3 linked regions of the Arabidopsis thaliana genome follow. The protein of the gene in region 1 interacts with the protein of each later gene in a pairwise test. Each region holds a gene or a part of one and is shown in the gene's direction. Other genes may lie near its edges.

The links.
Region 2: the proteins of HESO1 (region 1) and AT2G05230 interact in a two-hybrid assay, tested with the Arabidopsis thaliana proteins (one large-scale study listed by BioGRID).
Region 3: the proteins of HESO1 (region 1) and AT4G28300 interact in a two-hybrid assay, tested with the Arabidopsis thaliana proteins (one large-scale study listed by BioGRID).

The regions. Positions count from the first base shown.
Region 1 is NC_003071.7:16,571,170-16,582,154, forward strand, and holds HESO1 (Nucleotidyltransferase family protein), read left to right. Parts: upstream 1-4,582; 5' UTR 4,583-4,931; intron 4,932-5,067; 5' UTR 5,068-5,080; coding exon 5,081-5,219; intron 5,220-5,485; coding exon 5,486-5,650; intron 5,651-5,793; coding exon 5,794-5,972; intron 5,973-6,063; coding exon 6,064-6,159; intron 6,160-6,262; coding exon 6,263-6,332; intron 6,333-6,428; coding exon 6,429-6,559; intron 6,560-6,672; coding exon 6,673-6,783; intron 6,784-6,890; coding exon 6,891-7,535; 3' UTR 7,536-7,816; downstream 7,817-10,985. Other genes in the region: RCA (rubisco activase), read right to left, coding at 22-303, 385-857, 949-1,034, 1,134-1,239, 1,331-1,647, 2,132-2,176; AT2G39750 (S-adenosyl-L-methionine-dependent methyltransferases superfamily protein), read right to left, coding at 7,817-8,024, 8,137-8,214, 8,422-8,544, 8,626-8,883, 9,132-9,291, 9,510-9,620, 9,779-10,049, 10,145-10,294 and 1 more. UniProt on the Arabidopsis thaliana protein: Uridylates small RNAs to trigger their degradation. Catalyzes the uridylation of 5' fragments produced by AGO1-mediated cleavage of miRNA target RNAs. Acts synergistically with URT1 in unmethylated miRNA uridylation, leading to their degradation.
Region 2 is NC_003071.7:1,895,926-1,906,962, reverse strand, and holds AT2G05230 (DNAJ heat shock N-terminal domain-containing protein), read left to right. Parts: upstream 1-4,137; 5' UTR 4,138-4,478; intron 4,479-4,925; 5' UTR 4,926-5,024; coding exon 5,025-7,145; 3' UTR 7,146-7,495; downstream 7,496-11,037.
Region 3 is NC_003075.7:14,010,902-14,021,084, forward strand, and holds AT4G28300 (formin-like protein (DUF1421)), read left to right. Parts: upstream 1-3,744; 5' UTR 3,745-3,958; coding exon 3,959-4,114; exon of another isoform or gene 4,115-4,494; coding exon 4,495-4,782; intron 4,783-4,875; coding exon 4,876-5,922; 3' UTR 5,923-6,196; downstream 6,197-10,183. Other genes in the region: LLG3 (LORELEI-LIKE-GPI ANCHORED PROTEIN 3), read left to right, coding at 56-112, 243-586; AT4G28290 (uncharacterized protein), read right to left, coding at 1,131-1,250, 1,441-1,563; AT4G28310 (microtubule-associated protein), read left to right, coding at 6,557-7,165; MAN5 (Glycosyl hydrolase superfamily protein), read right to left, coding at 7,392-7,794, 7,896-8,107, 8,198-8,320, 8,423-8,620, 8,712-9,071.

The DNA.
Region 1 (10,985 bases):
AGTTTCAAACCTCTGTTTTACCGTAGAAAGTTCCGCGGCCGATGGCGTCAGCGTTTGCGTCTCCCAAAGCAGCCTGGCTGAGGTAGGTCTCGGCAAGTTGGACTCTCTTGACATTCTCTTGTTCCATCACAAGCATGTTTCCGTATTCCATAAGCTTCTCATAAGTCATCTCGGGTTGCTCGAACACGGGAGGTCCTTCCCTTGAGTTAACCAGCCTCTTTCCGATCTTCTCAACTCCAAGGCTCTCAACGAACTTCCTCACTTCATCATCGTACACTCTCGCCCTCAAAGCACCGAAGAAATCTGTCCACACCAAAAACACATATCAGATTCTGCACGAGGTCCTATATAGAACATTTTCAGGGTAGTAAGAATCTTTCTTACCGATAGATTGACCAGGGAACTGATCAACAAGTGTGACAATGTCTTCGTCCTTGATCTTGTCAGTTCTGAAGATACCCTTGCAGACACCGATACGGTCTTCACGGGTCGGGGCCCAGTAGAACTTCTCCATACGTCCATCACGGATGAGAGGAGCGTATAGGGTGGAGAAATCGTTACCAGTGCAAATGATGGGGACACGTGCGTTCTCTTCCTTGTTGTACATTCCTGGGAGCTGGACGTTGGTTGGGTTATCAGCAATGTTCATGAGTGTTGCGTTAACCATCTGGTTGTTGACAGTGTACTGAGTAGTACCACCCATACGACCCGCACCAGCGTCAAGATCGTTGATGAAGAGACAACACATCTTTCCCTTCTTGATCAAGTCAGCTGCCTCACGGTACCTCTGACGGATAAGCTTTGCGGGTTCTCCTGCGTTTCCACTCTCAAGCTCTCCAGCACTCATCATGATTGGGCTGCAAAAAGATTCAAACTTTTTTAGATTCTTGTCGAAAGAGAGCTAAACAGAAACCGGGTCAAGATCGGAGATTTGGGAAATGGACTCACTTGATACCCATCTTGGCCATGACAAGCTCACACTGGAAGGATTTACCTTGACCTTTGCCTCCCCATATACCCAAAATAAGTGGAACCTATGAGACAAAAAAAACAGGCATTTAAAGATCAATAAAGTTGTGTAATAAGTCAAGATTGCACCAAAAAATACTCAAAAGAAAAACTTTAAATTATACCTTGATGTTAGGCAGAGTCAAGAAGTTCTTGGTGATGTGAACAACAAGCTTGTCCATGAAAGCAGGAGCAATGTAAAACCCATCCATCATGTTGTCCAAGTTGTACCTATATTTCAAGAAGTAAAGACAATTTTTAAAACCAAAGACTCCAAAATCTTTATGGAACTAATGAGAGATCTAGAGAGATGAGAACTTACTGCCTAAGGCCTTGGCTAACGTATTCGTATGAGCTAAGGACAGCGTGGTGAGTTCCGGTTCCCATAGGAGCTTGGAAGACAGAGTCAACCATACCCTTGCCTCTGGTGATGTCTTGTTGATCATCAGAAGTGTCGTAGGCAAGACCTCTCCATCTGTCTCCATCGGTTTGTTTGTCTTCTTTCACAGCCAACACCTTGAATGATCCGTTGCTCTTCTTGTTGCTCTGTGCGAATCTCGACACAGTTACAACTTTCTTTCCCAAGAAGGTTGAAGCTGGGGCTGATACAGCTCCTGATCCTGACCCGTTCAAGCTCAACTGCAACACACACACAAAAACAGTTCAATCACCAATCATGAATTCAAGTTTGGTTTATATGGTTCAAGAACCGGTTTAGAGACTATTCCTAAGGATAAAAGGCGCTCAATCAGGAACTGAACCGAACCAAACCGGGGAATAAACTTTAATTTGGTTCACATAGCTCAAGGTATAGACTAGTCCTGAAGACTAAAGAGTAGTAGTAGTCTCTACAGTTTCAGTTCAATTACTATACATCGATTTAAACACATCTACTAAATCTATAGTTCACAAGTAGAGAATAAAAGAAGCATCAAAGTATCTTTAGATTTCCTAGTTAAAGTCCTGATTCTTCTGTTCTGTCAGAGAATCTCAAAGTGATTCAAACGATCAAATTCTTGAGCTATATTTGTAAAAACCAAAGCTATTCAAGTGGTGGATAAGCACAAAGCGTTAAGATTATGTTAAAAGTAACATTAAACCACTAATGGAGATTGAAGTGTACCGGAGCTCTGTTGATGGCACCGACGGTGGAAACTGCGGCGGCCATATCTCAAGACTGCGACGAGTATGCGTCACAACACAAGAAGCTGAAGAGAGGAATTAGATTGGTAGAAGAAGAAGCTTAGAGAGATGTTGGTGTGAGCAAGAAACTGAGAGATTTATAAAGCGAGTGATCAACAACCAATTCGTTATCTCTTCGTCTTCAAGGCTTAACTCTCTGATCGCCACACGATGCGGATTGGCCAAGTTGCCACGAGGAAGATGATTAGGAGGATTCTATTTTGATTGGTCCACGTGGAATATGTTTATGAGGTTGTCGTCAAATGGCTAATCTGTGCCAATGGATTTGTTTTTTTTTTCAAGTGAAGATTATAACATTATTTATTACCACATATGCTTTGGAAAATCATTGTTTTTTTTTTTTTTTTTGAGGATTGAGGTAAGCCATTCATATGTGATCAAGATACTTCTACACTCTTCTTCATACGATAACATTCCAAAATTTTGGATAATGACATTGCTTATCGATAATAATGTTCCAAATAACCGATGTAAACTGATTGGTGGAGAGAAATTGGCTTAGCCAATAGAATATAATTCTAATTTTGTTATATACAACTCTAGATACAACAGGTATCAAGTATGTGGTTATCAAATTAACCATATTGTACTAAACCGCTAAAAACTAATTAATGCAACTTTTTCTTTACACAAAATGTAAAAACAAGTGATGCAATGCATACGTAAGATTTGATAAATATATAGTTTAGAAGATGAAGTAAAGATAGTCGAGGCTAAGATAGCATCATGCAAAATATCATATGCTAAAATATGAAATAAGATTATAGTGTTTAAATTCATAGTGAAAATATGAATATATCAGAAATTCATATGAATTTACTTGTTTTAAAATAAAAATGATAACTATATCATAGTTTATTGTTCCCTCAAAGTTACTATAAAAACAACTCATCTAAAACTATATATTCACAATCACAAGCAATCGTTTTCTACACTAAGCTATAAAATGAAACACTTCACTTGTCTGATCATTATAATTTCTCATCCTCTTCATTATTTTCAGTTTTCTCAACCATTCTCTCATGTGGAACGAGCCATCATATCATCAATGGACAAAACCAAATTTTAATTTTAGGCTTCATTCGCTGCCGACGAAGCAATATGTACATGTTCTACATGCAAGACAAGAGAACAAAGATTACTGATATGATATTAAACTATTATTGATCCATATATAAGACATGTTGAAGAACCAAACGATTGATAATAATGTGGTGGAGCTACTCGCACAATGCTAAATGTTAACTGTATGTGACAAAATTAGCAAAAGTTTGCGTGCCAGGTTTGATTCTTAGTACACATACATGACTTTTAACATACTGAGGTTAGAAAATGAAGTACAGTAAAACCTTTATAAATTAATAATGTTGGGACTGCAAAATTTTATTAATTTAAAAAGGTTTTAATTTATCGATAAATTAATATTTTTTAATTATAGAGAAATTTTCCTAATTTGGTAACTTTTTAAAAAGTTTTATAAGATTTTTTTCATTATAGAAAATATCTTTCTAAAATCAATTACAAGTACAAAATTATATCATGTCTAGAAAACAATACCAAATTTTTTTTGATACAGTAACACATTAGAACTAAATTTCAAATAAGAATAACTACAAATTTAAGTAAAAAAAAATCAAAAACATTTCTTACATATAATGTATATATATAGTTGATACATTTATGCAATTATTAATTTATGATATTGATGAGACTATATATTTACATAGGACTTTCAAAAAAGTTATTATCTTATTAATTTATCGATGTGTTACACTTTTTACATTGGTCCTAACTTGGGATCTGGTGAATTTATTAATTTATAGAGGTTACTAATTTATCGAGTATTAATTTATGGAGGTTTAACTGTAAAAAGAGTTGAGGTTACCATTGCAATAAAATATGAGACAATGTGTAGAGGAGGATAAAAGATTGAACAAAAAGAAGAAAGCCAACTAGTTTTTGTCAAAAGGATAATTTTCCATGTGCATGCAAGTATGCAACCACATCAAAATCATAAATAAACATTGTCTAAAATGTTTCTAATAAAAATAGATGTAAAGAAAATTCATCAGTTTAATAACTAGGGTTTAAGAGATATTTACAAATACTAACCATTAACATCATATTTAATATGACTTTGTAAAATCTATGATCAAATAACATGCAATTTTTTTAATATGTAAAATAAATTATCTCAAAATATTTGATTGAATATATACCCTTTAATTTAGCATTGATTTTAAAAATCCAACAATTTTCTATAGTATATTTTGTAATAATGTTATTGGTTCCTAAAAAAGATGGTCACATCATTCATTAAATAAAATGAAATAAAGAAGTGTTTCCTTCGTCGCATTGAATAAAATAAAGTAAACCTTCCAAAGACTTTTCATTGTCTTCGCCTGCGAGCGCTAAAATTATCTCCGAGCATTCTCAAGTTGGGTGATTCGGTACGGATTACTGATTTGGGAGAGAAAAACCCTAGATTGGAATTAGATTCTGGGTTCTTGGGCTAAAGGTTTCTTCATCTCCTTCGAATCATCCTTTTGTAAGTCCAGTGGATGTGAAAACCCAGTACTCACTGATTCTTTTTATTAGGAATTTTGTAAGGTTTTGGGTAGAGTTTTCACAGTTTTGATGATACTAAAATGTGGGCCACTGGGTCTAGAGAATGAAGAATCTTGCTTTTAGTGACAAAGGTTGTTCCTTTGGAGTAGTAAGTGAGCAAGATATCAGAAAAACTGAACCTTTAATCTCAAGAATTTACTTTGATTGGAGCTTGTGAAGTCCTTGTGTTATTGTTGCATGATGTTTTCTTTGAGATAACTTGGCAATGTGTGTTTGGTGTTATTGTAGAGGGAGCAAGACGATGAGTAGAAACCCTTTCCTGGATCCTACTCTTCAAGAAATTCTTCAAGTGATTAAACCCACACGAGCAGATAGGGATACGAGGATCACAGTCATTGATCAGTTGCGTGACGTCTTACAATCCGTAGAATGTTTAAGAGGTGATGACTCTTGATGCACTTTTGTGCTTCTCCCATTTTTCTTACTGTCTAGTACTGCCTTGAACCATACCAGCCATGGATGTGATTATGATATTGGATATGAAAGTGAGATACTTCGAGCTTTCAGTAAGGTAATATCTGCTGGAATTGTAGCTGCAGAATAGTAGAAGTGGTTCATGTTACTCTTTCGCACTATTCTCGTTCTGGAAACAAATTATTTCATGTGATGCTTATAGCCGCTCGTTGTCTGGTTCTGTGATTGTTAGGTGCTACTGTTCAACCATTTGGATCCTTTGTGTCAAATCTCTTCACACGATGGGGAGACTTAGATATCTCTGTTGACTTATTCAGCGGTTCTTCCATCTTGTTCACTGGAAAGAAGCAGAAACAAACTTTACTCGGACATTTACTACGAGCACTGAGAGCGAGTGGTGATTCATTTAGCTTCTATTTTTTTCTTCTTTTTTTGGTTTTCTCTTTGCTTCACTGTTGTTTACCTTATATACTACTTAAGTAGTTTAAGTATTATTTCATGTGCCGATTTGTCTCACATCCATTATCATTCAAAAAACAGGTCTATGGTACAAACTGCAATTTGTTATTCATGCGCGAGTTCCTATTCTGAAAGTAGTGAGCGGCCACCAGAGAATTTCTTGTGACATTTCTATTGATAACCTGGATGGGCTTTTGAAGAGCAGGTTCTTGTTCTGGATCAGTGAAATAGATGGGAGATTCCGCGACCTGGTTTTGCTAGTAAGTTAACATGCAAATAAAACCATATTGTGTGTTTCCAAAGGTTTAATTGATTCTAAACGTATCTACCTCGTGTATTCTACATTTGTAGGTGAAGGAATGGGCGAAAGCTCATAATATCAACGACTCAAAGACCGGGACTTTCAACTCTTACTCTCTCAGTTTGTTAGTCATCTTCCATTTTCAGGTAAGATAGCTGTTCTGTATTCATAGATTTTGCTGCCTTCAGCCTTCTGCAGTTACTGCATCATTAGAAACCATAGTAAGATGTTCTATGTTGTTTGTTGCAGACTTGTGTGCCTGCAATCTTGCCGCCTCTAAGAGTGATATATCCGAAGAGTGCGGTTGATGATCTGACAGGTACGCTCAATGAAAAGGTTTTGAAGCCAAACCACACAAAATATATGTGTTTTTGGGGTAAAGGGACAAAAGTTTTAGCGGTATGGTGTCTTGTAGGTGTACGGAAAACTGCAGAGGAAAGCATAGCGCAAGTTACTGCTGCTAATATTGCGAGATTTAAATCAGAGAGAGCAAAATCAGTCAATCGAAGCTCGCTCTCGGAGCTGTTGGTCTCTTTTTTTGCAAAGGTGATTGATTTCTCATACATTCTAGCTTTAATTTTTTTCCCTTAATAATATCCACTAAAGTGCTCTTGATAGAAATTAGTATCTTGATTTTGCTGTGTGGCTGTATCTATCAGTTTTCAGACATAAACGTGAAGGCCCAAGAGTTCGGTGTTTGCCCGTTTACTGGAAGATGGGAAACTATAAGCAGCAACACTACATGGCTGCCAAAGACATACTCACTCTTTGTTAGTCTCTTTCTCTTTCTTTCTCTTAACCTCTTGTTGAGTTATATTCATCTCTATGGCACCATGTGAGTCTCCCGGCTAACATGTGGGAATGGTGTGTGTTTCAGGTTGAAGATCCTTTTGAGCAGCCGGTGAACGCTGCAAGGAGTGTGAGCCGTAGAAATTTGGACAGAATAGCTCAAGTATTTCAGATTACATCGCGCCGTCTTGTCTCAGAGTGTAACAGAAACTCCATCATAGGGATTCTGACAGGGCAACACATTCAAGAGTCTTTGTACAGAACAATAAGCCTCCCAAGTCAACATCATGCAAACGGTATGCACAATGTCCGTAATCTGCATGGTCAGGCTAGGCCACAGAACCAGCAAATGCAGCAAAATTGGTCACAGAGCTACAATACCCCGAATCCACCACATTGGCCACCACTAACACAATCCCGACCACAACAGAATTGGACTCAGAACAACCCCAGGAATCTTCAGGGGCAACCACCTGTCCAAGGCCAAACTTGGCCTGTAATCACACAAACTCAAACGCAGCAGAAGAGCCCATATAAGAGTGGGAACCGACCATTGAAAAATACATCTGCTGGTTCAAGTCAGAATCAGGGCCACATTGGTAAGCCATCTGGTCATATGAATGGTGTGAACTCTGCAAGACCTGCATATACGAATGGTGTGAACTCCGCAAGGCCTCCATCAAAAATTCCAAGCCAAGGCGGACAGATCTGGAGACCGAGACATGAGCAGTAGAATGAGGTGTGCAGACATGGTTCAGAGATACTCCTTCACATATTTTGGATGATTTTGTATTCTGACCTTGGGGCTTTTTTTCTATGGATCCATTCGTTACAATCAACAGATTTGCAATAGCAGAATGTTGTTACTAAAAAATGAGGACGAGGTAAACTTTTACTCAGTAAAACACCACAATCAAATTTACAGTTACATTAAGAGAAAAAAGAAGAAAACAATAAGAGATATACTACCAAACAAAATATATTGTGTTGACTAGTGCAGTAACTTGTGTGGTATTAAGCTCGAAGGAGACGCTTCTCGCATGTTAGAATCCTGTAACTTGCGTGAGGACCCTCGGATGTGTCACGCAGAGAAGTATGCCAACCCATGGCCTTTGTGATTTCTTGAATTTCATCCATAACATCAATTGAATCCCTAATGTATGCTCTTCCACCGGGTCTTAATATCCGGTCCATCTCTAACAATATGGTTGACATCTCACATCTGATAATATTCAGACAAGACAAATGGTTAAACTCAACTATAGGCACCACACGATCATAGATTAAAAATTTATAAATCACTTTGAACTTGAGTTACAGATAATGATGCTTACCTTTTTCTCTCGATCGAGAAGAGTCCAGAGGCATGTAAGAAGTCATATGTCCGTGGGTATGTATCAAATGGTTCACACCTGAGGTAGAATGCATCACTTATTAAAAAAATATCCAGAGCCAGAGACTAAATCTTAGTTTACCTTAAGACACATAAACAGATGAACTTTTGTGTTTAAAAAACATGAACAGAGAAAAGGACAAGATGAATCACTAATTTCCAAGGTTTCAACTATAGGATTCCAAATTCTGATTTCATATGACAGATTCTAAGGAGAAAACAGTACCAATCGTGCATCACTCCTAACAGTCCACGGTCATAAATGACAGGCAATGTGTTAGGCCCACTGACAGGAACCACGCTTAGAACCCAGCAATCGAGTTTATGATCATTTAGTGCAGCTGCAAATCTGCCAAAGCCAAAGGAATAAATGAAGAGAGATAAGCTAAGATACCTGTATAATACCTAACAAAGAAATATTATTTCATACCCGCCAAAGCCTGCTCTCATGTCCAAAACATTTCTTAGTTTCATCTTTTTCCATTTTAAGGCGCGAACATAGCCCCCAATTATTTCATTCCAATATTTTGATTCTGCCTTGAATAGCTCTTTCCTAGCAATGTAGGAATCAAATTTTATCGTCTGCAGCCTATCAGGTGGAGTATGCAGACGGGCAGGCCATAAGGGGACGTTTCCTCCGTACCCTTTCTCAGGTATGCGACTGATGCAAGGTTTCAGATTTGTGTACCTAAAACAACAATAAATCAACATGAGGCATAAAAAATGTGATATTTTGCACACATTGTCACAGACAAGTTAACAGACAGACTAGATGCAATCAAAACAAATCAAATTGAAAAAAAGTTCTGATGCAACTCTGACAGCATTTTAAGAACATGTAGCCTTTATTCTTCTGTTGTTATGCTTCCACATGCAGGTAGCAAGATATGGCCTTGTATCACAAACAAAGAAAAACAGAAAGATTAGCAGCTGTACCAAACATTATCGGGATCATCTGATTCATCACAAAGAGGAGGTTTAGTCCCAGCCTCACGACTCAAATAGCAGTCGTTGTTGAAAGGCTTCTGCCAGATTGCAACGTATCCTTCCTTCTTTACCAATTTCCAGCAGAGGCTAATAGTAAGATTCAGCATTTCTGGAAAACAAAATGTGAGATTAAAAGAGTACACATATTGGCTGAATCAAAGTAGTAATAAAGAAAAAAAAAAACTCTCCTTAAACCCACAGAGACAAACTGTAGTAAATAATAAAGCCACGTACAATGATTACTAACTCCAAAAAGTTTATTAAGACCAAAGAATTTTATCAACCCTGAATTACAGGCCTACTCAAAGCAGATTAAAAGGATGTTACCTGTCCATTGTTCTTCCAAAGCGGGTTCATGCTTATAAACAGGCTGTGCAGCCCAAGCAAAATATCCTCCAGCGCGCAGCATTCTATTGATCTCAAGGAGCAAAATTCCATCTTTATCACAAAGAATGAAACAGCAGAGTGAGAATTTTCTGTACAAGTAATAAAAGCTAGAGCATAGTTCACACAGGGAGTTAAAAATTACAGTAGGTGCAATCTTAATCTTTTTCTGATGTATTAGGTGAAGAATCAAGCACACCATAGAACCTTACCATCACGAGTCCAGTTGATTCTACATCTTGAACAATGAATAAGATCAAAAGCTTGGCTTGGATATAACAAACGCCTTGTCGCAAATGCTGCCGCCATAGCAGGCACACCACGCTCAAGAGCAAATTGAATTTGGTTCTCATGGACATCTTTTGGTGCAACAGACATTGTCATGACATCACGAGACAATAGATAAGCACCAAAACTCGCCACACCACAACCAACATCCATAGCAACCCTAATATGCTTGCCAAACGTAATATCAGAAACCATCTGCAGACACAAACTCCAGAGCTCAACATCAGATGAAAAGATACATAAACAGTTGACGCGAAAAACAAGAACTACTACTTGGAAAAATGAGCCACCTTAGACATCTGGTCCAAGTACTGATCAGCCCCATGAATAAACTGTGTACCACCTCCAGGAAACTTGAACTTGTTCTTGTCTCGTGAAATCCAGTTCTGACCTCCTTTGTCTTCAACAAGCCGAGTATGAGGAACATTGCTAAACCATACCTATCCATAAGTAAATTCCAAATACTACTTAAACTAAATCCCAAGACATGTTATCCAACCAAAATGCAAAACTCATGCAAACAAAGGAGTACCTCGTCACGGCTTTTAGGCCATGGAATCGGCTGACGGTAACCTTTAGGAGGTGGAACTAAGCAATTCAAGCCTTTACCTTTCTCAGGACAATGACGCTCGAATCTCTCACCTCGCTCTGTCGATTTAAGCTTCTTTATCACATCAGTATTATCCAAACAAGGTATATACTCTCTCATACTCTCAGGACACATCCCAAATTTCTTAATTCTAACCCTAGCCTTAGAATCACCGTCGCTTTTCGCCTCAACGATCTCAGTCTGATTCCCCCAATCTTCCACTGTATCACTCTCAACCTCACCCACCTCAAAATCGTCAGACATCACACCGTTCGCATCAACTATCCCAAAGCTCTTAACCGGACCAGGCGGAGGAGGAGGTGAAGGAGAAGGAGGTGGAGGAGGAGGAGGATTAGCTTCCACCTTAACCTTCTCCGTGTCCGCCACCACCGACGGAGGTTGTTGTCGTATTGTGGCGGGGATTTCAATCTGGGTATGGTTAGTAGGAATTATCGCTGATAAATTAAAGACTCTGTTACTATTCGGTGAAACGGAGACCTCCGGGATCGAGCTACCGGAAGTGGAAGAGGAGAAGAAGACGA
Region 2 (11,037 bases), about 15 Mb from region 1:
TCGATCTATTAAGTGTTCCGCGAATTGAAGCTTGATCGAGTTGTGTTGTGATTGAATCGAGTTGTGTTGAATCGATCTTTAAGTTATCGGATTGTAACAGTTTGGTTATGATTCAGTCTTCTTGGATTCACTAACTGAAAGATAAATGTTTATAATGTGAGTAGTTTACAAATTACTTACGAAGTACGTGACTTATGTATCTTTAAAATCGGGTTACTCAAGTGCAAACTTTTTTTTCTACTATAATGTTTTGTAACAAATTACTTGATTATGATTTTGCATTACACTGTTTTGCATTCAATATTTGTGTAAGGATTTAAAAAATATAGCTGACTTTTGTATACTATCTCTCATTTCTTTAATCCATCTCTATTATCCGTCTATACATGTTTCTCTTTTGAAGGTAGGTGACTACGGGCTACAACAATTACGACAAAAGGGAGACAAATAATTCAAAAACGTTATTCAAACGTTTAAGCACTAAATGTCACTGAAAAGACGATGCTATCAAGTATATGGAGTTTCCATGGAGATGGCTTCATAACAAAGACGACATACTGAAAGATAAACTGACAACAACAAAAGAATTTGAAGATGATCCATTTGTATATGGCTCTAGGTAGTGACTTTGTGTTAATAGTTCATGTTTAATCTCTTACATCTTCGTCTTTAAAGTTATTTTTCTCCGTACGGGTCTAATACTAGTAGTCAATGATTCCGAGTTACTATCCAAAATTTGGCAAAAGAAATTTGTTGAGGCAATGTGATGACAATGGCTATGATGTCTGCTTTAGTTTCTAAAATATGTGAAAGTTGCAATTAGGTCTGGGCGTTCGGATATTCAGGTCGGGTTTGGGTCGGGTATTTTGGATTTGGGTATTTCGGATTTAGAAATCTAAGATCCGTTTGGGTATTTTAAGACTTCGGGTTCGGATTCGGGTTTATCCGCAGTATCCAAAACTCAAAACTTTTATATCAAAATATGTTAAAATTACTTGAAACTACACAAAAATTTATAAAAAAACTTGATTATTTTCTATCTGAATTTATCTAAAAGTAGGTAAAATACCTAAAAATATACAAAATAACTTAAAATCCAAATATTTTAGGCATTTAAGTTGTTGTATATATGATTATTATTGATAAATTATTTGTATATATATATATATATATATATATATATATTTCGGATATATTCGGGTACTTGATGGGGTTCAGGTACGGATCGGGTTTTCGGGTTTTGAAGTTTAAGATCCATTCGGGTATTTTAAAATTTCGGGTTCGGATTCGAATCGGATTTTTTGGGTCGGGTTTGGTTTGATTTTTCAGGTTCGGGTATTTTGCCCAGGCCTAGTTGCAATTGAGAATTCAAGTTCTAGATTAGTTTGAGGTTTTGTGATTGTTAAATACAGGACATGATGTGGAGTATAGACTATTGTGGGATCATAACTTTTTTTGAGGAATGTCTCATGTTGTGTGCTTGTCATCTCTCTTTTATTAGGTGTTTTTTTTTTTTTTTTCCCCTTCTCTTTAGCTCTGAATCTCAGGCTTTCCTGTGATAAATGGCAATTTGAAATTGTTTTGTATGCCCTTATATGCCCAGGTTATACGTTTCGACCTCTGGCTTCGCAAACAATTGATGTCTCTATTATACCATAGACTCATTACGCTTGTGGATGTTTCAGATTATAAACTTGTTGGGTTTGGTTTCCTTGTTTTAACATATATAACTGGATGTTTTGCCTATACTATTTATACTGTTGGAAATGTAAGTGAGTTCCTTTAGCAAAGAACAACATACAATTATTAGACTAATTAGACTTGACATGTTTCGTAAAAGCGTTTCTTTGCTTTTTTTTGTCGGCAAGCGCGTAGCATTTTATGCTGTGTTTGGGTTGTTTTGAAAAAGAAAAGAATTTTGTTCAAAAAAAGAAAAAATAAAGAATTTTAAAAACAATTCCAAACTTATTTAACGAAAAAGCTTTCAAACTATTTTATTAGATAAAAAAATTTTCAATTTTATATTGAACTTACTATTTTATCTCCGTTGTTAGTCAATAATTTTAACTCGTTATTATTGCTTTAAAAGGAAAATAAAATGACTTAATCAACATAAAATTGGAAATTTATTTTATCTAATGGAATAGTTAAAGTTTTTTTAGTCAAAAAGAAGTAAATTATATATTTTTATGACATTTTCTTATTAAAATTATATGAGAGATGTTAGGTGTAAATGGTTTGATGTTTATGGCATAATGAAATAAAATGTTATAGAAGCAAGTTTAACGACTACTCTAACAACTTTTGATTTAGTCCATGGACTTATGTTTTTCAAAAATTTAAAACTATTGTGTTTATGGTGTTTATGGTGTTTCGACCATTGCATTCAAATCAAGTGAGAGTAAACAAATTGTTTCTCTGTTTCCAGATATGAAAGACACTGACATGAGCAATGAAATCAATGTTATAGAAGCAAGTTTAACGACTACTCTAGCAACCTTTGATTTACTTCATGGATTTATGTTTCTCAAAAGTTTGAAACTATTGTGTTTCATTATCGATGTTTTAGGTTGATATCGGGTCTTTCTAGTGTCTCGACCATTGCATTCACGTCATAAGTAATAGATTATAGTTCGAAATGCTAATTTGACTGGCCAAAAATCTAGAGAACTGAAATTATTATGAATATTATGGTAAAGAGTGTAGGGTTAAAAAATTTTGATCCAAGAAATATGTACAAAGAGTAAAGACAAGCGAAAACACTTTCGGCTAAACAAAACAATACTATACAATTCTTTCTACTCGAGACATTTTTTTCTGATCTGTTCTTAAATTTTGGAGAAGAAGAAATGAGGTTTAAAAAGACATCTTAACTGCGTTCCCAAAGTAAGATGTTTGGACTAGCAGTTAGTTTTGGAATAGGCACAGCCACAAAGCGTGCCACTAGATCCCTAACAACTTACATTTACATTGGCAAAAAACCCAACTATGCAATTGTTACATACTTTCCAACATCCAATCACACGATAGTGACATAAAAAAAGTATCAGTTTATAATTATTTAGAACTGTGAACAAAATGAGAAATGTATAATTATTAGAAAATAGAAAAAAACAAATATTAATAATTTTTTTAATAAGTGTGAAAATTCTTAAATGAATCTTCATGAGTCATAACCTCATAGGTTAACTGGATGGTGTTTACAAATATTATTATTTTGTTAACAATTATTAAAGTTGAATTTTTCTATAACTTTATGAAACTATTATTTTAACCCATATTCATATATTACACTATTAACAAATTATTATTATGATACTAGATAAAGCCCGCCTAAATAGGCGGGTGTAAAATGTAACTGTAATTTTTTATCTATAATATTTAAATTTTGAATAATAAAATAATAATCTATACATTGTTCTTGATATATAATTTTGAATAGTAAAATAGTAGTCTTATGCATTTTATTTTATTATACCCATTCAATCTTATTGATGATATTTGAAGTCTAAATAGTAACCTACACACTTTTTTTATATTATAATTTAGTATTTAGAAGAAAAGAATAAATTTTTATCTTACATATTCAATTTTGTAATACAATTTAACTATCTATTTCATAAAAAACTCGATTTTAATTCTACACACTTCATCTTACTTGATAATGATTTCATGTCAAAATAATATATATATGAGATCAAATCTATATCTTAGTTAATATTAAAAATTATTAACAATTAACAAAACATAATTAATAATAATAAAAAATTTGTTAATACCATACATATTAAAATTTTGACCAATAACATATATAAATATTTTTGGTTAATTTTCCTTTTGGTTAAGAAAAATAAAATGTAATATATTTTACATATATATAAATATATGAATTAGTATATGTTAATAATGATTTATTTTTTAGTTTTCTATTTCTTTAAGAAGAAAAAATTTAATTGATTTCTTTTTTAGTATTTCTATTTCTTTAAAAAGAAAAAAGTTAATTATTTTTTTATATGTGTCAACATCCGATCGATAGACTTGACACATGACATAATCTTATGAGTTAGTAATTTTTAAAACCATACTTTATATAATAAAATTATTATGGCATATATCAGAGTCGAGATAACCACTATTAACAAATTAGCACCGTTTACTTTCACTCCAAAATTATTTTACTTAACAAAAAAAAAAACAAATTTTTATTTTAGCTTCCATTTTTTTTTTCCCCGAAATTCTCGACGGTGTTTTCCGGCGATTCATTCTCGATGCCTGAATCGCCGATTACCTGAATTCACTGAAACCCTAAAACCCTAAAGTTACTGTAGTTATTAAAGCTGTGTTCTTGATTCCAAATCTTTGCCTAAAGATTCGTGCTTTTTGTTTACTTCCGATTTGATCTACTCAATCTCTGGAGGAAGAAGAAGTTTCAGAGATCTATTTTTGAAGCTGTGTTTGTAATTTTCCCCAATTTATCAGTAAGATCGCTAACTTCGATTCTCAGTTTATTTCATTTATTGAAATTTTAGGTTTTTGGTTTTTGTCATTGTTGTTTATTGAAGAAATTAGTAAACTTTGAGTTGGGATTTAAAGTTTAATCCTTTTGAGTTGGGTTTTGTCTTATGAAGTTGATAGCTTGAATCTGACTTTTTGGTGAAATTTGTTCAAAATGGAGATAAAATTAAGCTACTTTTTGACTATCTAAATCTAGTTTTGTATAATTCTCTATGTCTTTGTGATATAAAGTTAGCGATTTTGTCAAAAAAAAATCTGAACTTGGAGATTCTAGATCTCGAATCTTAGGATGGTTGTTGTAAGTTAGTAAGTATGGGTTTGTTTGAGTATGTGTGGTTGGTTAGGTATTGGTTTGCATTTGTAGTGACTCAAAAAGAATTAATGTTGTTCTTGTGAATGTTTGTTTGCAGATAATGATGATCTTTTGGTGCTTGAATATGGAATGCTTGCGGGAACGGTGTTAGTTTCCTTTTGTAGAGCTGTCATATATTGTGTTGGTTTCTTTCTACATGGAAGCTTACAGAGAGGAAGCTCTCAGAGTGAAACAGATCGCTGAGAGGAGATTTGCGGAGAAAGATTTCACAAGCGCTAGGAGTTATGCGTTGAAAGCGAAGTCTTTGTTTCCTGATTTGGAAGGTTTATCTCAGATGGTTGCGACGTTTGAAGTTTATTTAGCTTCTCAGACTCGAAGCGGTGGTCAGATTGATTATTACGCGGTACTTGGACTGAAACCGTCTGCGGGGAAAAGAGAAGTGAAGAAACAGTATAAGAAGATGGCTGTATTGCTTCATCCTGATAAGAACAAATGCATTGGAGCTGATGGTGCATTTCATCTCATATCTGAAGCTTGGAGTTTCTTGTCTAATGAGTTTAATAAAAGCACTTTTTATTACAAAAGAAAGAAGCATATTGACTCCACTGAGGTTCAGAAGCATAGCACAGAGTACATGCCTGGGACTGGGACTGGGACGGGGACTGCAGTATTTGATCGGTTTCCACCATCTTCAGAAAGGCTTGATACTTTCTGGACTGTATGCACCTCTTGCAAAGTTCAGTATGAGTATCTGAGGAAGTATGTGAATAAGAGGCTTTCATGTAAGAACTGTCGTGGAGCATTTATTGCTGTAGAAACTGGTCCAGCTCCTGTTAGTGCACCATTTCATTACACGCCTCCATCCCATGCGCCTCCCTCTCATGCGCCTCCATCTCATGCGCCTCCGAGTAATGGCTATGGTGCACATGGTTATGATGCTATGTCACGCATGCCCACCAATTCCACGTATTTCTTAGGCCACTATCCTGGGCAAGGACATGGATATGATTATAGTACGAATGGTTCATATGAATGGAGCTCGTACTCTGGAACAACAACCTCCCCAGGGAATCTGGATTTGAAGCGTGTGTCCTCAGTGTCTAATGGGTATCCTTATAAGCACAGCAACTCAGTAGTCAGCGGGGGAATAAATAAAGTCAAAGATGGTTCTAATGGGACATGCTCGAAGAAAAGCACACCAGGTGGTCTGATATATCCTAATCAGATCAGCATGTCTGCTCACGCGAGTGCAAATAAGGTCGGCAGACCTGGGAAGAAAAGCAAAGTTTTTATGGAAGCTGCTGCTAATGGATTTGTTGAGAACCCTCTGAGATCTGTTTCAGTATCAAAGACAGCGAATACAGATGCCAAAATGGATCAGGATTACAAACTTCATATCCAAAGTTCAACTAGACGTTGGTCTGCTGCATCAGTATTGGATACACGGAAGCCCTTAATTCAAAAGGCCAGAACAGATATCAAGCAAAGATTGGAGATGATGAGATTGGCTTTAGAGGCAGCAGCGGCTGCAGAGGATGCAACACCCCTTGATGAAAAAACTGTTCTCTCCTGTAAGTTGGGAGATGTTACAGGGCGCAAAACTAACGGGCCAATAACAGTTCCAGACTCTGATTTCCATGACTTTGATAAAAACAGATCGGAGGAATCCTTTGAGCCAAGGCAAATATGGGCAATTTATGATGAAGATGATGGTATGCCACGCCTATATTGTGTGGTGAGGGAAGTACTCTCAGTTCAACCCTTTAAGATTGACATTGCCTACTTAAGCTCTAAAACCGACATCGAGTTTGGGTCAATGAAATGGGTACAATATGGGTTTACAAAGTCGTGTGGACATTTCAGGATACGAAACTCTGACATAGTAGACCATGTTAACATCTTTTCGCATCTTTTAAAAGGCAAGAAGACAGGGAGAGGTGGTTGTGTTCGAATCTTCCCCACAGCTGGGGAGATTTGGGCCGTCTACAAGAACTGGTCACTGAACTGGGACGGATCAACACCGGACGAAGTGAGGCACCAATATGAAATGGTCGAGATTCTTGATGAGTATACTGAACAGTATGGTGTGTGCGTTACCCCTCTTGTTAAATTAGAGGGCTACAAAACCGTGTATCACAGGAGCACAAGGGAGGACAGTAAGAAGTGGATACCAAGGTGTGAAATGTTGCGGTTTTCACATCAAGTGCCGTCTTGGTTTCTTAAAGATGCAACCAGCGGCTTTCCCGAAAACTGTTGGGACTTAGATCCAGCTGCAATCCCCGAGGAGCTGCTTCACATCGGAGCAGGAACCAATTGATTTCAGTGACCCTGTAAGAGAAAGATGGTTTCACTTTTCAGATTGAGACCAAGTGTAAGAGTTGTTGTATCAGCGAAGATTGTGGAGTTTTATGAAGGACTATTAACACGCAAAAACCATACTGTTTGGTTCAGTGAAGCTGTTGTATTAGGCAAATGTTCAACGAGTAAGCAAAGCATAGTTTGACTTTTGTTTACTCTGTTTCTTCTTTTCTTTTTCTTTTTCGATTATGTATTCGTTTCTTTGTTGACCTTAGTGATGACAGAATTTTTACAAGTAGAGTTATAAATGTAGCAATTATCTTTCCATTTCTTGCTGCCTTTTATTTAGTAATTGAATTTACAAGTTAGTGAAACCATTAACTAAAATGTTAATAAAATTAATTTTTATTCAAAATTATAAAATTAAAATTATATTATTAAAAAAATAATAGTTAATTGAGATGGTAAGGGTAAATTTGGAATTTTATTTTTGTTATGAGATCGTGAGTATTAAAATAGCAATAATTAATTGTTTGTGTATTAAATTGCACGGTTTTATTACTTCGTGTATTTACCTTCCAACAAAAAACAATTGGGTCTTAAACGTCCAAATAAAATTTAGTTGAGGTTTTTTTTTGGTTTTTTCCCTTTTATTTAGTAATTGAATTTTCAAGTTAGTGAAACATTCCACGGGTCGAAACCATTTTAAAACTTTGAACAAGGTATAGTTGTTCCACAATGAAAATGTGTATATTACCTGCTGCTTCTACTAACTCTTTAGTCCAAGGTCTAGAGGAAGATATTTTTGTGTTCAGTCTTTGGATTTGGTTAATATCATGAAGTTGTTCTTTTGGTTACAAGGTCTTCATGAACTAAACAACACAACTACCATACTTAAGTAAGCCACATCCAACATTCTTAACATGAGTTTCTTTTGGTTAATTGTTTCTCTGAGTTTAATCAATTTATACTTTCATGGTCTTGGTTTGCTTGTTGATTCTGTTGTTTTTGGTCTTCTGCTTGATGGTTAGATCTATTTGTATCGTGATTATGTGTTTGTAAGGAAGATCACTTTGGGGAAGTTTTCTTAAACTCTTGAGTGCGATAATCTTTGAGTTACTATCCAAAATTTGGCAAAACAAATTTGTTGAGGCAATGTGATGACAATGGCTATGATATCTGCTTTAGTTTCTAAAATATGTGAAAGTTGCAATTAGGTTTGGGCGTTCAGATATTCGGGTCGGGTTTTTCGGATTTAGAAATCTAAGACCCGTTCGGGTATTTTAAGACTTCGGGTTCGGATCGGGTTTTTTGGGTTCGGATTCGGGTTTATCAGGAGTATCCAAAACTCAAAACTTTTATATCAAAATAGGTTAAAATTACTTGAAACTATTCAAAAATTTATAAAAACTTGATTATTTTCTATCCGAATTTATCTAAAAGTAGGTAAAATACCTAAAAATATACAAAATAACTTAAAATCCAAATATTTTAGGCATTTAAGTTGTTGTAGACTTGTAGATATGATTATTATTGATAAATTATTTGTTATATATATATTTTGGATATGTTCGGGTACTTGATCGGGTTCAGGTTCGGATCTGGTTTTTGGGTTTTGAAGTTTAGGATCCATTCGGGTATTTTAAAATTTTGGGTTCGGATTCGAATCGGATTTTTTGGGTCGGGTTTGGTTTGATTCTTCAGGTTCGGGTATTTTGCCCAGGCCTAGTTGCAATTGAGAATTCAAGTTCTAGATTAGTTTGAGGTTTTGTGATTGTTAAATACAGGACATGATGTGGAGTATAGACTATTGTGGGATCATAACTTTTTTTGAGGAATGTCTCATGTTGTGTGCTTGTCATCTCTCTTTTATTAGGTGGTTTTTTTTTTTTTTTCCCCTTCTCTTTAGCTCTGAATCTCAGGCTTTCCTGTGATAAATGACAATTTGAAATTGTTTTGTATGCCCTTATATGCCCAGGTTATACGTTTCGACCTCTGGCTTTGCAAACAATTGATGTCTCTATTATACCATCGACTCATTACGCTTGTGTGGATGTTTCAGATTATAAACTTGTTGGGTTTGGTTTCCTTGTTTTAACATATATAACTGGATGTTTTGCCTATACTATTTATACTGTTGGAAATGTAAGTGAGTTCCTTTAGCAAAGAACAAGATACACTTATTAATGTACTATACAAGAAGTAAATTAGATACTTGATTCAGTGACTACTCTCTTCAGAAATTTTGTTTACTCTAGAATGTTTAGTTCTAGATACTTGATTCAATACTACTTCCTTCGGATATGTCTCGATAATGTTTTTAATGGCTTTAATTTCATAAAATATTTTCTCTCTTTATATGTCATTGCTAAATAACAGAATTAAAACAATAAATATATGATGTTCTAATCTTTCATCAATTTATAGCATCATCTATTGAGAAGTGGACAAAAACTGAATCAAAACCCTGATCGCAAATAATTGTCAATCGATCAGTGATATGGTGTTGTGAAGAAGCTGGGTTCAGATTGAATCGGAATGTGATTGACAAAAAAAAAAAAACTGAATCCAAATTTGTTTTTTTTCTCAACGTTGGTAACAGTAAAAACTGTTAATAGTGTTTGGGCTGGAAAAAATTAAGTGGGCTTCGGTTTTAGATTTGGGCTTCAATAACAGTATGCTTTAAACAAAAGAGGTAAATGTAATGGGCTTTGTTAATTACCAAGTTTCTAACAAAATTATTAATGTTACAAACATATATTGTTTTTAGAAATTTGTGACAAACACATTTACTAATTTCAATTTCAATTTTATGATACATCATTAGAATTTCATAATTGTTATTTTAATTACCTGCTGTCCAAATTAATATACATTCTTGAGATATCCACATTGCATTGCATAAATAAAATAAATACAAGTACTAAATCTAAATATCATTATGAAAATAAAGTGTCACATACTTATACCCACCACAGAAGATATAGTTTTTATATAAGAAAAAAAAACATCAACAACCATTCAAAATCATATGCTTACAGAAATATACATATTATATCGCCTAATTCCATAAATCCGTAGAATAACCAATGTTATCGTTACCTTAAATACGTGTTCTTTAATTATACACACAACCGAATATATAATTGAGCAGTAGGAAAAAAATACAATAACCATACTGAACATAAACTATATTGTCAAAACACAAAACATCAACATTAAAAAAAAAAATTATCCAGCAGTATACCGTGGATCATATCCTAGTATTGAATACATGAGTACAACTACAGAAAATAACTTTTATTTTGTTCCTATATATTAATTAAATTAAGCAAACGTTTTGTTAATTATGCTCAAACGTTTTGACATTCATTTATTAATTATATGTAATCAGATTAATCAAATATGATTAAGTTTTTAATAACTCTTTTGCATTTTATTTTGTTCATTGATAAAATAGTAAAACATTAAGTTTCAAAATTAAACCCTATACCTTAAACTTTCTTAAAACATATTTATTTATTTATCATTTAATAAAATAAATCGAAAACAAATAATCAAAAATTGAACCATATACCCTAAAAATCATATAGGCCTGGATTTCCGGTTAAACCCGAGTAAAGCAAACCGGAAGAACCGAATCATTGCGAATTGAAGTAGCAGAGAAGTAAACCGTTCGGAAAAATTAATTTGGGCTATCGGTATTCGGTTCGGGTCAGTTCGGTTATCAGAGTCCGATCGGGTTAACCTAAACCGAGTATTAGAAGCCCTATATAAGGTTAATGTTTCACCAACCCTATTTTCTCTACTTCTCTCCGCCTCTCTCGCATCTCCAAATCGAAATCGCTCTCTGCCTCTCTTCGTCTCCGTCTCCGTCTCCGTCTCCATCTCTGTCTCCGGTGAGTATTCAT
Region 3 (10,183 bases), on another chromosome or scaffold:
ATTAAAAATATTGTTGAAGTTTCTTTGAAATAATTTATGACATTTCTATGTGCAGTTGATGAATTTGAGTCACACCCATCCACAAGCCGAGCTCTTCTTCAGGCAAAGGCAAGTAAGTAATATAACTCCCAAAATTTACACCATTGATTGTAATCATGTGTTTTAGAAACAAGCTTCATTGATGATTATTAGCTTAATAAGCAAAATATTCCATGATCATTACGTTAATGACATTTTAACAGCATGCAAAGAAGATTTTGCGGCAAAGAATTACACAATCATAACGAGTAAATGCAAAGGACCAAATTACCCGGCCAAAGTATGTTGTTCGGCCTTCAAGGACTTTGCTTGCCCATTCGCGGAAGTTCTTAACGATGAAAAGACAGATTGTGCCTCCACAATGTTTAGCTACATCAATCTCTACGGTCGTTATCCTCCTGGAATATTCGCTAACATGTGCAAAGAAGGCAAAGAAGGTCTCGATTGCACCGACGTCACCCCTACATCATCTTCCCATGCATCGATCCCTCTTGTTTCCACACACGTTTTGCTAATCACCGTTTCCATCTTGTTTCACCTCTTCTAAAGACTTGTAAATGTTACAATATGAGTTATATATTGCATTCCATTGTTAGTTGCTTTGTGAGCATAGATGTAAATGTTTGATTTTTGTTTGCACTCTCATTAACATCATTCGTTATGCCCGGTGTCGATAACTCTACCAGTCGACCTTAAGGAACTCAAGGGATTGCATGACTAAGTTCCGAGTTCCAATCCTAGGCAATGAATAATAATTCTAGAACATGTGTGTTTGGTACACATCATAACACTAGCATTCCTAACATGTTTTGTGGATCAAGAACATGTGTGTTTGGTCATTAATGGGCTGAGCTAATCTCTTAGGCCATATAGAGTCACTAGTTTATTTATGAAGACATGTTTGGTAAACCAAATAGAAGAAACATGAACCTCATAAATCATGCCTCTTGTCTTGGTGGTACACTTTAAGCCGAAGTTACAATAGTGATGTGAAAGAAAGAAAAAAAACGAAACTTAAAATCAGTAAATCTTTGTAGTTAATCAAATGGGGTAAACAATAAGAACCCTTACAAATCAGAACAATGCAAATGTTATCGGTGAGCAGTAACAAGCGTCTCGATGAATCGTAACCCATCAAACCTTGGAGCAAACTTCTCATCTCCCCCATCTTCCGACGAACCCTTCTTCTTCCTCTGTTTTTCCTTTGCCTCCTAACCACAATCAGCAGCTAAAAATTATTCTTTACACATCCGAATCCATGTAAAAGTTAAAAACTCTCCAACTTTGTAATTTGATAAATTTTTGACTATGAGAAACTTATTGTGAGTACTTGAAACAGAGGAGGAACTTTAAATGCTACCGAGAAACAAATAAACAAGAGCTTGATTCTTCTTTTTTTACCTGACGAGAGAGATTAGATTCCGGCGAAGAGAATGACACGGAGGTGTTGGTAGAGCCGGCGGAGATCGCCGTGGCAGAAGCCGCGACAGAGATGGAGGCTGCGATGATTCCAGTTTTCTTCATGTCTTGATCTTAAACTTTCCCAAATTCGTGGACTCTGTTTATACTTTTTTTTGTTTTTCTGTGTTAATAAAATAAAATCTGCAACCGTAGGCAGATGAGAGAAAAATGTGGGAAAAATTGAGGTGTTGGCTTCGATAGTCGACGGTTTATATACGCAATGGGGACAAAAGTTAAATTACGCTAGTTGACCAATTTATGTATCGATAAAGTATGTTACCGTTTTACCCTTTTCTAAATACCTTAAGCATGATTTAATTGCGTTAATTACAGCTAAGATCATTGGTAAACGTTTTTGAATAGAATGATTTATCTTCTAGAAGAATTTAATTGGAGTAAGAATGGGTAGCGTGAAAAATAAGGGGGTTAGTATGGTCAAAGCATTAGAAAAAAAGAAATGTACTTTGAGCCTTGAAGTCAGAACCACACAAAGAGAAACATGATTGGTTGATCTGTTAAATGAAAATGGGTCCATCGTTGGTTGGTAAGTAACCCACGTGTCCGGACAATGTTGCAACTATGAGTTGGTGTTTTGAGAATGTTAAAAGTCAGCTTTGTATTGGACGATTATGCCCCTCTTATTTCTCGTTTATTACTGTTGGTATTGTATGCTCATAAGATAAGGTTCAAGAAAAGAAATGTTCATAAGATAAGGTCGAAACACTAAATGACGGGTGAACAATGGCATTGAACAAGTGGATCTGATTATTTGTCTTTGAGAGCATATCTCAAATGCAAATTGATGTAAACTGATTTGTGGATACCAAACCTAACAAGTCCCATATGGTTTTCTGGTGAGATTTCTCTGCGTCAAATTTAATGTTGAACACATTTATTCTTTGATAAAGACATCACAATCTCGTTAAGTTTTAATACTCGTCTCTATATATTTTACGTCCGGTCACTATTTATGAAAAAAACAGAGTAGTAGAATAAGTTATTAACACATGATCGTACAAAAGCATCTTATGGTGACGTATAGGATCATAATGATATGATTAATAAAGTTTTGATTAAAGATGTATGGATACAAATGAAAGAAAAAAGTTTGCGGCTATATCTCTTTAGGGATGGGTTCTTAATAATTAAAATTACTTTTGAAGGACTTTATCGTTTGCGCAATCTCATAATCATGTCCACATATCTCTACTTTTTCACCGGCCAAAACTTATTCGGTCCATATCCGTATCTTAACGTGAATTATTGATCATGCCGCAAGACCAACAAGCCCACAACTTATTTTACTCTTACATGTGTAAAACAATTAACAACCACAGTGATTGTGGACAGGAGAAGATGAAACAACTCAATGTAAGTAACCCAACACAACCGGTCAATCGGTCATTCTTGTGAACTGGTTTCATTACAAGAACGTGTACCAACTATCTCTAAGCAAACATGCAGAGGCTATGATATCATACATCATATATCAACAAGTTACCAAAAAAAACACTCGTACAGTCGTACTCTTGATGTAACTTCCAAATAATTTTTATATATAACCGGTTCATGTTTCTGGTACATGCTGACAACTACAATATGTTCTTCATACAAGTTTAGCTGACCAATGTGACTACAGATCCCAAAAACTAGCAGCAGTAAGATGGTTGGATTATAACACAAGACCAAGATCAAAGCCCTTCCAATTTCTCAAGAACTCACATATCACTCACTCCTCAAGAAGAACAATTTACTAACTTGAGATCCCTCGTATCTTAAGAAAACACCTTAGGGAAGAAACAATATCAGCGTTGAGAACCTGGTTTCCTCCACAATGCATTTGGCACACATCGGAACTATGGATTCAAAGAGCACCAAAACGAGTCTATATCTCTCAGTTTTATGCCAATGCCAACAGAGCTCAAATGGCACCCATAAAAACATCAAAACAGTCTTCTTTATAGATAATAAGAATATAAGATATCTAGCCTAGCAAAAAGATCGAAACTTTGGGTTTCCCCCTTCGTTACCTCAATCCTCAATAAAAAAAAATTCCAATGAAACGAAGTGAACGAACGACGTCGTTCTATTTTTTAGGTTGCAAATAATTGAAAACAAATAAACGGGACAAATTCACAAGTAATCAATATATTTAGGGACGAAATTACAAATATTTAATAGAAAAACAAGAGTTTGGCTGTTTCCTCCTTCTTTCATCCTTATCACAAGTCTGAACTAAAAAACCTCAATTGTAATAAACAAATTAAAAAGCAAAAATATAATAAAGAGAAAACAAACGTTTTTTTCCTGCTTGCTTCTCTCTTTGCTTGCGTTTTCTCAAAGGTTCGAAGAAAACGAAGAACCACGCTTTTGCTTTTTTCCCAAGACTTAATCTAAAAAGCGAGATTTCCTTCTTTCGATTCTTTTTTCTCAATCTGGTTTTCAGTCTTCGGATTCAATGGCGTCTGGATCTTCGGGTCGGGTCAACTCAGGATCCAAAGGTTTCGATTTTGGCTCCGATGATATCCTTTGCTCTTATGATGACTACACCAACCAAGACTCCTCTAATGGTCCTCACTCCGATCCTGCGATCGCTGCTTCCAACTCCAACAAGGTTAACCACACTGATTTACCCTTTTCTTCCTTTTTTTAGGTTCGGGTATTTTGCTCGATCGGCGATTTTTGTTTGATTTTTGGGAATCTAGAGTTTTGATTTGTGGTTTGCTCAGAGATACGTGTAAAAACAATTTCGAGGAGTCAATATCGAACTAGTCCTCTTAGTGTTGAGCTAATTTAGCTAGTTATTTCTATGTTGGTTGTGACTTATGAGGAGCTATGTTCTGTGGAAACGCCTTAGCTATGAATCTGACTTGGAACTAGAGCTTGTTAAGCTGTGCTTGTCCTCCTTATTTTCAATTGGAAGAAAATTTCATCCACTTTTGATCAGATATACTGAGCGAGTCTTTGTTTATTGTTTCATTTTTTTGCTTGTAGGAATTCCATAAAACAAGGATGGCAAGGTCTTCGGTTTTCCCTACAAGCTCTTACAGTCCACCAGAGGATTCTTTGAGCCAAGACATTACTGACACTGTCGAAAGGACCATGAAGATGTATGCTGATAACATGATGCGCTTTCTTGAAGGCCTCAGTTCACGCTTGTCTCAGCTTGAACTCTACTGCTACAACCTTGATAAGACCATTGGAGAAATGAGATCGGAGTTGACTCATGCACATGAGGATGCCGATGTGAAGCTTAGATCTCTCGACAAACATCTTCAAGAGGTTTGTTATTGTTATGCAATGTTTTTAATCCTTTTTGTTAATTTTAGTTTGTAAAACTCTGATCAGTAATTGACCATGGATGTTCTGTTGTAGGTGCATAGGTCTGTCCAGATTCTTAGAGACAAACAAGAGCTAGCAGATACTCAGAAAGAGCTAGCGAAGCTACAACTTGTGCAGAAAGAGTCATCTTCGTCGTCTCACTCTCAACATGGTGAGGACCGTGTCGCCACTCCTGTTCCAGAGCCTAAGAAGAGCGAGAACACCTCTGATGCACACAACCAGCAGCTTGCACTTGCTTTGCCTCACCAAATAGCCCCACAGCCACAGGTGCAGCCGCAGCCACAGCCACAACAACATCAGTATTACATGCCTCCTCCTCCTACACAGCTTCAAAACACACCTGCACCGGTGCCCGTTTCTACTCCACCATCACAACTTCAAGCACCACCAGCGCAGAGTCAGTTCATGCCCCCACCTCCTGCTCCATCTCACCCAAGCTCAGCCCAAACTCAGTCATTCCCGCAGTACCAGCAAAACTGGCCACCCCAACCACAAGCCAGGCCACAGTCAAGTGGAGGCTACCCAACATACTCGCCTGCACCACCAGGCAACCAACCGCCAGTAGAATCGTTGCCAAGCAGCATGCAGATGCAATCACCATACTCTGGACCTCCTCAACAGTCTATGCAAGCTTACGGATACGGTGCTGCACCACCACCACAGGCTCCTCCTCAGCAGACAAAGATGTCTTACAGCCCCCAGACTGGCGATGGGTATCTACCCTCAGGACCTCCTCCTCCTTCCGGGTATGCCAATGCCATGTATGAAGGTGGGCGAATGCAATACCCACCACCTCAGCCGCAGCAGCAGCAGCAGCAAGCCCATTACTTGCAAGGTCCACAAGGTGGTGGATACTCTCCCCAGCCGCACCAGGCAGGTGGCGGTAACATTGGTGCACCACCTGTGTTGAGATCAAAATACGGTGAACTGATAGAGAAGCTAGTGAGCATGGGTTTCAGAGGAGACCATGTCATGGCTGTTATTCAGCGGATGGAAGAGAGTGGCCAACCCATCGACTTCAACACCCTCCTCGACAGATTGAGTGGGCAGTCCTCAGGAGGACCTCCCAGAGGATGGTGATGCCATGGCTCCCCTCTACTTGTGTATCTTTCAAAATAAAACTGTGCTTCCTCTTCCTCCTCCTCTTTGCGTTACTCTATAGAGGCCCTAGTTTTATTGGGCCCAATAGATTGGGTCTGTTGTGTATTGTTATAAGACTCAATTTATATTTCTTTAAAAAGCCTTATTATTTGTGTATGTGTTACTTTCAATGTTTTTCTTGAACCCAAAATCTCTTATCAATGATTTGCTGCTTTCTTTACTTCACTTTTGTTTTATATAGATTGTGAAAATTAATAACCTGAATAACAAGCTTTTAATATTAAATGGAAATTAGTTCCTATACCAAAAAACCTTTCAAATCATGAAATTTGTGTATTTAGAAAAATTGGAAAAATAAGAAAAATGGAAAAAAAAATGTCAAAAATAGATTTGCGTAAATCCTTAAAACCAAAAAACAAATAGAAAAAAAAAACTGCGGGAAAGGAAAATAGAAGAGGCGCCAAAGATTTTATTTCAAGCAGCGCGGTTAGAGTCTCGCGCCAATAAACATACCGCCACAATCTCCTTCTACATAAACAGCCCTAATCCTCTATCTCAATCTCAATCTCTCATTCATCATCCTCTTTTTTCAATCTCGTTTAAAATTAACATAATGATGACGCCAGTGAAGAAAAGTATCGCCATTAGACCGGTGTCGTTCTACGGAAACGGGCTTCCTCGTCCTCGTTTCTTCGATAATCCTAAGTTCAATGATTACCGTGTTGATCCTCCCCTCTCTGTGCTAGATCCTCTTCTCTCATGGGCGAGAGACGCTCACTGGTCAATGGGTGGTCTCAACTTCACGCGTCTCCGTCTCCAAGGCCGGATCGAAGGAAACGTCAACAAGCTCCGTGCACAGCTTGAGAAATCCACCCCTGTGAAACTCGAATCTGGAAGGAAGAAGAAGAGATCTGGTTCTGAGTCTCCTCCTTCTGCTCCGATTGTGGTGAAACGAAGGAGGTACTTAGATCTGAACGATTCTGATGATGAGGAAGTCGGATCTGAAGATGAAGGTGTGGTTAGAATCAGGAGAAAACTCTCTGATGATTTTGATAGAGTCGCTGAAGAAAGCAAGACTAAACTTGTTGAAGCTAACAAGAAATCGATTAAATCTGAGTTTGTGGAGAAGAAGAGATTGATTGAGAAGAAGAAGATCGTAAAAGTTAACAAGACAAGTTCAACGAGGTCATCTCCAAGACTGGCTAAGCGTAGCTCTAATTAGTTTTCATATTTAGTCTCTTCAATAATTTCTCTTAGGGTTTAGAATTGTTGAGTACTTAGTTTGTTTTTTTGTATTTGTGCTTATAAATATGGATTTATCTATGAACTCTGACCAATGAACTTGAATGCATCAAGATATTTTTACTCACTGAGTTGATTCTTGTATACAACAAAAATGAGAATCAGATTTCACTGTAGAGAAAAAAGACAGTTTACATGTGATTCTCTCAATGTCTGTGAGAACAAAGTTCTTTCAACTTTTGTTCCTTAAGACGTCCTGTGACTTTACCCAATCTGCAAGATTGTTCTATCATCAATTTGTAAATGGAATCTTGTTCATGTGGAACAATCCCAAAGTCATCGTTGAATGTTTCCATGCCTTCCATGAATAGCTGCCACACTAATGTGCCTGCACCTGACTTCTTTCTTTTGGCTGATTTGTAAACCACGTCGAAGATGATTCTGTAGAACTTATCTCGCTGCGATGGTTCGTAGTCCTTGTTCTGGTTTGATAGGCCAAACTCTGTGAAGAGAACTGGCTTCTTTAGTTCTTTCAATCCATCTTCTATGTGAGATTGCATCCATTTCACCACAAACTTTAGCTTCTCTTCAAATGTCTGATTATGAAACCTGCCCATATATACATTTGTAGCAGAATAAAACAAGTGAGAAACCTGCACCTGAAGAGCTCAATGCAATTATATCTTGATTCTCTGATCCAGCTCACTTACCAGTGATCAGGGTAGATATGAACGGATGCAAAATCTATGTTTGAGGAGTTAGAGTTTTGAACAAAGTCTGTTCCGAGCTGGGATGCCCACTGTTCTGGATTAACTGTGAGCCCTTTCGGGCTATTAGGACCATAGAAGCCTTCCAGACCTACTGTGAGGAGATGCTTGTCATCGATTGACTTAATGAATCCCGTCATTTCGTCTATCCAATCCTGTGATCCAGCAAAGAAATACATAAATATATTTGCTGAATAAGAAACAATCTGAACGATTCCAAGTGGCAAGTGAAATGGAATACTCACTTGGAGAGTTTTGCCAGAGACATCAGTCGTGCATCGAGGCTCGTTTATCAACTCCCAAGCGAAAATCGTAGGATCGTTTCTGTACTCTATTCCCGTTACAGAGTTCTTCCTGGTGAGCAGAACCTGCGAATTAGGAAATAATCATTCAATCTTTACTCATTAAACTTCCTCTCACTATCACTCAATGATTAAAATGTTCAATCATAATCAGCAAGAGACCATTACCTTGAGATAATTCTTGAAGTAATTGCGGATAGATGGATCAAAGAAGAAGGAATCATTGGAAGAACTAAGACCAACACCTTCTTGCCATGCCCATTTCACATACTGAGTCTTCCCTCCATAAGCTTGCAAGTTGTTCACTAAGCTAAGCAACAATCTAACATCATGCTTTCTCGCTTCTGCAATTACATGATCCAAAGCCTAACCAACATTATACAAATCCCATTAAACAAGGACAGAGAGAGATCACCACATAACTGAAATTATAAAAAAGAGGAAGAATCATCAAAACCTGAAAGACTCGCTCATCGAATCGGCCAGGAGAGATCTGAAGAGCATTGTAGCCACCGTCATTGAAAGCCCAAGTTCTACAAACAGTGAGACCCATTTTAGCTCCAGCTTCAAGCATTTCACCGACAAGGTTTCTGCTATGTTCATCAACCGCATGGTCCATGAACCAATACGAGTTCCACCCATTTACATAAAGAGGCTTATCATCCACCACAAACTGAGTTCCGTTCCTTTTCACAAACCCTAACTTTGCTTTCCCTTTGTGATTCAACCACAAATCTCGAAATGATAGATAGATGAAAGCTGCACATATAAAAAAACCTAGAATTCGTAGCATTGGCCTGTTCCTTGTGGGAACCATGCTTCTGCCACCTCCTGCTTCACTGCTTCACACACACACACACAGAAATTTCAAACCCAGAATTGGAGAAAGAGCTCCTTTTTTAGTCGGTGCCCACCCAGAAGAAAAAGTCTGTGCCTTGTTCCGTGAATTTCTCTGAAACCCAAACCTTTTATAAAACCCAGACGGAAAAATCAATCGTTTGTAGAAAATTAGCAAAGATTTGAAAAAATAGCTCGCTCAATAACGCTTTAAGCAAACAAGGGAGATACGAACAAGCAGAAGAAATTGAATAATCACAGACACAGATCTATGTATCTTTGTATTTATATTAGTTGTTTATTAGTTATTTAGTTTCACTGTATCTGAAACTTAAAGGACCCAAATTACTATATTTTTCTATTAATTTTTTTACAAAAAAATAATATTTTTCTATTAATTCTAATTTTCTTTTGTGAAAGAAGAAAATAGCTTGAAATAGCCCTTTTGTATTTTACCTTGCAAAAGGGACAAGGCATAATGTGATGTTTTAAAAAAAAAAAAATTACACAAGGTATGATTTTACACTCTATTTCGTAAGTTGAAATTACTTATAAAATATCTTCATAAAAATTGGATATTTATAAATAAAAAAATGGTTGAAGGGGAAAGAACAGAACTTGACCCACCAAAGAAGAGGAAAAAGCACAGGAATTAACCTGGTATTTAGATTTAGAACTAAAAGAGACTAATATGTTGTTGGAAACTTTAAAAGAAGGAATTTAATTTTGATGAGTATCACAGGAAAAAAAATACATTTGAATCTCTTAGGAAAAAAAATAAACAGGGCCACATGCGTTGGAGTGTCATCAACTTCAGATATTTGAGAAAAAATGTTCATTGTTCAATCATGTGATGTGAATTGTGAGCCCAACTCATTTAGAACATACAAAGGTTAATTCTGAGAAGACAAAACAAATCAAATAATTACATTTACATAGAAAATATTTAGCTTCTGCATAAATTCAACATATTCAGTAGCATATTTATTTCTTTGTTCTCTTGAAAATCACTTTTGAGGTGTTCTCCACGTTGTTTATGATGATAAAAGAGCATAGATAGGCTTGACAATTACATTTGTGGTAAGATTCTTT